Tribolium castaneum: one gene and its partner. The protein of the gene in region 2 binds, or shares a complex with, the protein of the main gene of each other region. Links are inferred from orthologs where the notes say so. Each region holds a gene or a part of one and is shown on either strand. Other genes may lie near its edges.

Region 1 (4,381 bases), on a different chromosome or scaffold from region 2:
TCAGTCTTTAATTTCTCTAAGGTACTTTCTTCCTGGCCTGTACAAAACGCAAGATAATAGTTACACAGACTTTGAAAGTAAGTTGCTTTACCATCATATGAATATGCAGTCATATGAAACCAATGGAAAAGCATTGCTAAAAGCCGCCCTAATACTTCATTTGGTGTATTGTCTGTTGGGGTACATCTCCCCACCAACAACCAAACACCGTATCTACCTAAAAGCTGTCGCTCCTCTACTGTTATATTGTCAACAGCAGGGATCGGAGCTTTACCCTCCACGTTCTCCTTTGTCTCAACCGTGGGGATTTTTGCTTCTTTCAGCAAACTAGAACAACCAAAGTAACATTTTCGCCACCAGTTCGGAACTCACAGTACCTCACAATAGCTTCCACCATGTAGGTCTGCATTTCTGCATCCATGCTCCAAGTCGGTGGCAAGCTTTTGTGGACGATGTGATCTCCTCCCCTTCTGTTGTTGTGTCGATTGTTGTGACACTGCTCGCAATATCTAATCGGGTGATTGCCGTTGTAACTCGCGCACTCGGTCGAAAAACAGATCGAAATTGCCGACTTATCAGTCGATCGACAATTCTACAACTCCTCGCTTAGGATTTATCTAACGTCAGTTGGGACTTACTTTATTTTCGCAAACCATAGACACTTGTTGCATCGGGTGTAGAATATCGAAAAACATTTGATTGGGGTGCTCCCTGTGGATCTCGTTAGCGCACTCAATACACAAGTAAAGGGGCGGCGGAGTATCACTAGCGAAAGTGATTGAAATACAATGATCGTAACACACTTTGGCGGCTTCAGCGTTTCCGGCGTTTGGACACATGTCTCGTTTGCAAACGAAAGGTGTAGGATCTGCGCAAACGACATTTCTGCAACGACTTTGTGACATTTTTTCGGGTTTACCTGCGAACTTGCAAATGAGGTTTTTCCGGTCAAATAAATTCGCGTTGAACGTAGGCCAGTAATAAAATAAAAGCTTGGCTGCTGAGGATCGTGCTGTTGACGTACCGTAGGCGATCACGCTCAGAATGTCCTTCAGAATGTTCTTCTTGAGTGTCATCAGACATTCGAGGAGTTGACAGTGATGAGCGGGGTTTGTTGAATACTGGAACACCATCATGATTACGGCCGATACTGACTGACAGATTTCTTGCTCTCGGTCGTTGTGTCGTGCTGGAATGGCCACCAAGTGAAAATTGGAACGTGGTGGAACTTGGATAATTACTTATCGTAAACGGAAGGATGTAGAAACATAGCGAGTTGACAATGTCTTGGTGGAGGCTGCTAGGAAGGACTGCTATCGAGGATGCGGTTAAATAAGGCAAATTATCAATCAGGTCGTGCTCTAAAAAGGGTAGAAGACATCCGAGGCATTGAAGGGTGGCTTGTCCGAAAGCTGAAATTGCGATTTTTGCTAACTTGGCGCAAATTCAAGGACTTACAATTGAGTCCGTATTGGATGAGTGGCGCAACTTCGATTAAAGGAACGAGTGAATTGTAAAGCCCTTTGTAGTCTAAGCTCGGAAAAAGTCCCATGCGTACTGAATCCATTTCTGGATTTTTCAAAAGATCTAGAGGTGAATTGGGTACATCTTTGAGAACGGCTAAAAAGAGATTTTGGAGCGAGTTGTTTCGAAATGACGGACTTACTTAGGAGTGTTTGTGTGAAGTATTTGATAGTGTTTGCTATGTCAACCCCCGAAGGAGGAGGCATAACCCCCTGCATAAGCCGCAGTTGGTAGTCATATAAGCTGCGTATTTTGGCTGTAACTAATGAAAGGATTTGAGCAAAAGTTTGGACGTGTTGTTGGCACCGACTAGAATTCTGAGCCTTTCCAAAACATGAACTTGTGATTTTTAGTAAGTTTAAGAAAGAATAGTAGAAGTGACTTGGAAAGCGTGTCAGTTGTTAATTCAAGTTTTGGAAAGTTTGATAGGTGGATGTAGTAGCACGTTCTGGTCAGTGCCACTGGTGAGGACTGAGCACATCGATATATACAAAGAGAGTGTGAAGAACGACATAGAAGGTATAAAGTTGCTTACATGCAGCAGCACGAGTACCCATGTTGACAATGCAGTCACAATAATCAAACGCAAGGGAAACACTGAGGTCACATTGTTTAAAACGTGCGGGAATCTTCAACATGGGGGCAGCTTCGTTATCCCATTACAAATCAATAGTGGTAGAAAATAAGGGACAACTGAAGGATTCTACAAGAACAGAGGGACATAGACACGTGGCTAGGCCCCAGCAATCCCAGCATCCTCTCCTATAGGAGATCGATAGCATCCTGCCACCCGACACTCGCGCGCGCTAAAAATACGATTGCTACTTACAATTAGCACTTACATCGCATATTAATATAAGAGCGCATATTTAATAGATCTGTCGTGAACATCAGTCTAAAATTGAGCAGAAGCACTGAACATCAGCTGCCTTAGTTCGCAACCAATCGATATATCTTCATCAATAGGTTCTCTCCAGAGTTGCGCCTTTAACCGGAATCCGGCACTATTCGCAATCTACTTTAAAACACGTATTTACTTAAAACTAAAACCAAAACCTGTCGACAACACAGACAATCTAGCACTTCGTATAACTACTCGTCTGAACATTTAAATGAACTAAACCCAAAAACACTTCTTCTACCTCCCCTTTGCAATGTACAGACCCACTTGTTCTCAAGTGGAAAACAAAAATTACATCAAAAACCAGTGATCGGTCATGGCTGTCCAGCTCATACAACCTGCCATCGTTAAGCAAATATTGACCACAACAATTTTTCATAGAAGAAGAGAAAAGGTGTCACACAAATTTCGACAACGATTAGTGCAAAATCAAAAGAAAAACAACTAGTCAGCCTTTCGGGCAACTTACACCAAAATTTATTTATAAATTCACGAATAATTTTGTTCAGTTTTTCGCACTAAATCGAGAATAAGAATTTTAGCACTAAATTTGCGCAAAACAACGTGTTAAGGGGGAAATTTTAAGCAAAATTCTCCGGTAAACACTGAAATCATCAAGGGATATGCTGCAAGCGTGCGCAACTTTCAGACGAGGGTGGGTCTTTCATCTTTTCGATCCGTCCATCATCCAGTTTCCCCAGTTTCCCGCGACTTGGTCCTGTTTGGTCCACTTCTGATCTCCACAGCCTCACAATCAATAATGACATCCTGTTGACAGACGCATTATCATGGACACAGGTAAGCACATCAACACATCATAAATCGCATTTTTACATCTACACACCTTTTCACCCCTGTCGGATGCTGCAGTTTCTTCAATTTTTAACTAATCCGACCCATTTATCCCATTTAAATGCCTTACAGAACGCACAAAATGCGAAAAAGGTGAAACTTTCTGTTCTGTTTACGGAAGAATTATTGATTTCTTGTCAATTATTACGGTTCGCCCTTTAATTATCAAGGGTACCTGACAACAGTTTTTGCAAACAAATCAACAATCATTTTTTTTTTCATTTAATTTTTGGAGAACAACTGTTGCCATTTCATTTATTTAGTCTATTTTGGATTCATGTTGTTTATAGGCTCCCACATGGGGACATAAAACGGCTTTTATGGCCCAGACTAATCCAATCGAACTTGTTACAGGTTGAGATTGATTTTTTCGAAAACAAAATTTAATAAAACGTGACAGCGAAATTGTGGTAAAAATAGAGGAAAGACATTCTATCGCTTATTTTTGAACGAAAAGACGCTGCATTATTAATCGCTGTTACAACCAGGAAACCAGGGAGTGGGATTATCTCGCTTGTTTAATTGTGGGATTTAGGGCAAAATAAAACAACCGTGTCATGCCGCCTTATTTATTTGTCTAGCACATTTGTTGAACCCCACACGTGACGAATTACCTCGAGATACTTTTATAGAAAATTGAATCATCTACTAGTCAGAGTTCAAGAAACTGACTATTTACTAGTAAAAGTGTAAAGGTGATTTATTTGTGTGATTCATACGTATTATTAATTACGTGTTGAGTACCCAGATAATGGTTCAGTTAAAAAATGGGGTCTTAAAAATAGTCCGAAGTGGGTCGGGATTAAAAGATTAAATCGCTATTCAGGTACCAGACTTATAAAATCCAAAAATAAACGTTGCTCGTACACATTTTTTTCTTCACATACGGAGGTGATTTTTTATGGTCGTCTATGCCGGTTTTTTCCAAAGTCTAGTGCTTTCTCAGAACGATGAAGGTGAAAACAAAATCGTCACTGCTATAAATGGCACTTGGGTAAAGAATCTTTGGGAAAGCGTGACTCACTAAACAATTATGTTTTGTCACACTAATGACTTCTTTGTCTGATCTCGGAAAAAATTCGAAAAGTCCGGCGGTGATAATAG
Region 2 (3,654 bases):
AGAGAAAACGGCTTGTTCCATTGAATTCTACAGCTCATGTTACGTATTATACCGGCATTTCACAAAATTTAAAATTTTGAAATTTTTTGCTGAGTGATAAAACCAAAAATAAAAAAAATTACTTGTTCTAGCATAGTTACATGGACTTTTCTATGCCTTTACAAGCCTCTCGAGTTGCTAAAAAAACAAAAAAGTGTATATGTTCAATTTTTTGATGTTTGATTTTTCCAATTTATGCGAGATTTTTGACGATTTTCGGTCCGATTACCAGTACTTCGGGTACTTTCGAAGCTATTAAAGATAACCCTATGAACTTTCTTATCGTTGGAAAGCACTTTTAATCATCTATCTTTCTAAAAAAAGATCATTGTTCTTCGACTTATAGTTTTCGAGAAAATTGCAATAAGAAGCAAAAATAGATCAAAAAAATTCATAGCCAAAAAACCATTGGAAATTTCGTAATTTTATTGACGCCAATAGATCATACTCGGATCATTTTACATAAGCTAGAATCAAAATAGTTTTATTTTTTCAAATAATTTTGTCGTATTAAACCCGCCACATTACTATTTGGAAAAAGAATAGTGTAGTTGACTATTCTGCAAAAATTAATCCAGAAAATTAAACACATTTGAAATCGATTTGTTGGTTTGTAGAGCAGTGTCCTTCAATTCCTTATAATGCGCTAGATTTTTACTTTGCAAACCTTTATAAAATCAAGAATGAGTAAATAAAGAAAAAATCACTTAATATCAAGTCAGATTAGCTTACTTTTTACAAAAAACTACTTGAAAAAAAAATTTTGATTAATTTGGCCGTTTCTGAATTTTTTCCAGGTATCACGTGAGCAAGTTTTGACCTACTTTATACACGAGACACTTTTGTAGACAGTGGAAACTTTTTTACTAATTTCAGCAAGTCTACGGTGTAGTAAATATATTCCATTTCTGTTCATAGTAGAATTGCAACAGCGCATTTAAATTTTTTGGAAAGAAAAATAAAGCACAAATTGAGAGTTTCTGTATAACAACAAAATTCTATGTTAAACTAAATCTCAGCGATACACTTTGGGCTAAGAAAACCTACCAGAAACTCTCAATTTGTGTTCCATTTCTCTCAAAAAAATTCAAATGCGTTGTTGAAAAATTCTACTATGAAGTGAAATTGGATATACGTTAGATAATTTATTTATCAGTTTTAGTGAACAGTTAACAACGGTAAAGCATTAAACAAACAAATTTTCTGTATCATTAACTAATCAATACAAAAAATATTACTGACCTTAAACTCGGCATGCTTTTCCCTTTAACCAGATTGCTGGGCATTGGTTCAAACATTTTTGACATTGCAGAACTTGGTCTTGATAAATGCTCATCACCTGTATCTAAACTGCGATGATAATCCTGTATGAAATAAAAAACAAATTAGTTTATCAGCTTCACGTTCGAATTTTTGGAACAAAACTTACAACAATGTGTCACAAGTAACAGAGGAAGAAAGAACAAAGATAGTGAGAGGATACATACACTAAGCATTCGTCTTGCACCCACCGCATGTTCTCCTAATGGTTTCGGTTCATCTTGGCCAATCTTTTCCAAAGCTTTGTCGGATTTTGATAAAAGTTTGGTTTCAACGAAAGCTTTAAGATCTGCCATTTTCATTCGCTTTTTAGTTTTTTCACTAACTCGTCTCAAATGAACCGGTTCATCTAATGATTTTTTATTGGTGTAAGGGGATTCTAGAAAATCGTCTCTCAGTTTTTTCATTAGAAACGATATTGTTTGTACCAGCTAAAAGAGACACATCTTTAACTTCGGGAACTTCGATAAAATCTTTATTGTTTTCTTGTTTTTTGAGCTCAGTGCTTTGATAAAGTGAAACTTCGATTTTCGGTATTGGGAGAGAATTGCTTCTACGACGTGGTTGTTGTTGAGCAGAAGTTTCTTCGCTAATATCTCTCAATCTTTGAAGGTTTATAAACTCAAAATAATTTAATTAATCACAAGGTATTACCTGTTGTATAAATAGTGCAAAGCCCAGTAGATTCCTTCCTCTTGCCAATGCGTTATAAACAAACATCTTAAAACAGCAACATCTAGATATGTAGCTGAGGTTATATCACCAGTTTGACCAGGAAGTGTTTTGCGGGAACCTTCCATATCTCCCCCAGGTCCTTCAGTCGACGCGTGTTTACTACTATCAACTGAATCTTTGTCAGTTGATGAACTAGAAGTTTTTATAAACCTTAATCAACATTTTTACAACATTCTTAACTGTACACATGTACCCGATTTTTTGTATGGCGGGCTTGCTCTGTTTGCCTTCTGTACCTACAGGAGTTGAAACTTCTCCACTTTTAACATTGTTTTTGCTGCCAGTTGTTTTTCTCATAGCAAGTTGAAATAAACTAGTTTCAGCCTAGAATCACTTGTACTATTAATATTTTCTTTTTTCACCTTGATTACCGTATAAATAGATGGATCTCGGATAAATCCATCCGATTCGTGCAGAGATGGTAGTCTAAAAATAACAACATGCTCTTCTTCAGTGCTGGAACTTTCTTCAGGAATTGTTTCAGGAAATACCGTATCTTTTGGAGATGAAACCCAATTGCTCTACAATTTTTGTTGTTATTATAAAATTTGGCTAATAATTTTACTTGTTTACTTACTTCATCATCGGTTATTTTCGTAATAGTGGCCGTAACTGTAACGGTAGTCGAAGATGGACCACAAGAAAATAAATGTTGTTGTTCGGAACTAGAAGCACTAATGCCTTGACTGGGAGGACTTTCGTGCCCTAAACCGTCTTCCGATGGTTTACCTGAATTACGATTATTTGTCTACATAAAGCTAAACTTAAAATTTCCCGTGGTAAGTTGTTTCAAAAAATTTGTAAAGTTCCTAAATTTTTTTTTCAAAAATTTCATTTATGAAACATGATCTCATTTTTCAGTCTTGTAGCTCACCAACTGTTTTTTAAGCGATTAACTAAACCATAACATTTTAGATGGGATAAATAAATAGAATCAGGTTGAAATTTGCTTGTTCCTTTGGTTGAATCATTTCACATTAGTTTTCTGTTAAATACTACTAAAATAATAGGAGATTTCATTCTCGATTCCTTTTTTGTAAAATTATTGTACTCGTACAAATGAAACGTTTTACATAATTTGTTTGATTCGACAAAATAAAGGTCGATGTTTTGTCAAAAATTTTATGGATTTTGAATGCACTTTTATCAGGTTTTCAAGTAAAATTATTCCGGTTCCTAATTCAATCGTGTCTGACGGCTTTAATGCCTTTGATTCGAATTTATTTAAATTCACTAAACTTCCGCATTTTTTTAGAATGATGACAAAGTTGTATACAATTTTACAATATTATTCCATTATGTAAAGTCGAAAGTAAGTGCAGTGACGTTGTGTCTTTACCAAAGAAAAAATAAAAATCTAAAACCAATAAAATCCGTATAATAAAAACGATAATCACTAGAAAATTAAGAAAACCATTCGCTTTAACTCTTTAACTCTAACTTTAACTTCAACTATAAATTTCATCTTGAATAATAATTTTTCAAGAGATCAAGTTTATAATTTTTGGTTTTTTGGGTATATTGAAACTTAAGCTTGTTACTTAACTTTTAATGAAAATT

Evidence for each region.
Region 1: the proteins of unc80 (region 2) and unc79 are in contact, whole or in part, in a cryo-EM structure (PDB 7W7G), measured with the Mus musculus proteins. The link is inferred for Tribolium castaneum from reciprocal best matches to the Homo sapiens genes UNC80 and UNC79. Residues at the interface, in NP_780719.2 of Mus musculus: Gln23, Thr24, Trp27, Ser31, Leu34, Arg35, Pro36, Ala80, Pro83, His84, His87, Ser94, Asn95, Asn180, Ala183, Leu187, Phe190, Leu191, Arg337, Leu340, Gln341, Pro342, His343, Arg1317, Asp1320, Glu1321, Asp1324, His1545, Val1546, Asp1547; in XP_030102533.1 of Mus musculus: Thr120, Tyr123, Ser127, Ala130, Thr131, Leu168, Ser169, Ser172, Met175, Ile176, Gln179, Tyr180, Tyr207, Tyr211, Gly212, Pro213, Ser214, Val390, Cys391, Glu394, Glu402, Phe405, Arg472, Cys541, Asp917, Phe920, Ser965, Glu966, Phe967, Ser968.

What each region holds. Positions count from the first base shown.
Region 1 is NC_087403.1:5,611,589-5,615,969, reverse strand, and holds the start of unc79 (protein unc-79 homolog), read right to left. Parts: upstream 2,855-4,381; 5' UTR 2,163-2,854; coding exon 2,060-2,162; intron 1,787-2,059; coding exon 1,667-1,786; intron 1,621-1,666; coding exon 1,459-1,620; intron 1,413-1,458; coding exon 1,242-1,412; intron 1,190-1,241; coding exon 639-1,189; intron 593-638; coding exon 378-592; intron 328-377; coding exon 1-327. Other genes in the region: uncharacterized protein LOC662811, read left to right, coding at 3,214-3,223. UniProt on the Homo sapiens protein: Auxiliary subunit of the NALCN sodium channel complex, a voltage-gated ion channel responsible for the resting Na(+) permeability that controls neuronal excitability.
Region 2 is NC_087397.1:22,897,308-22,900,961, reverse strand, and holds part of unc80 (protein unc-80 homolog), read right to left. Parts: intron 2,824-3,654; coding exon 2,672-2,823; intron 2,616-2,671; coding exon 2,466-2,615; intron 2,419-2,465; coding exon 2,288-2,418; exon of another isoform or gene 2,275-2,287; intron 2,245-2,274; coding exon 2,014-2,244; intron 1,964-2,013; coding exon 1,788-1,963; intron 1,739-1,787; coding exon 1,527-1,738; intron 1,404-1,526; coding exon 1,282-1,403; intron 1-1,281. UniProt on the Homo sapiens protein: Auxiliary subunit of the NALCN sodium channel complex, a voltage-gated ion channel responsible for the resting Na(+) permeability that controls neuronal excitability.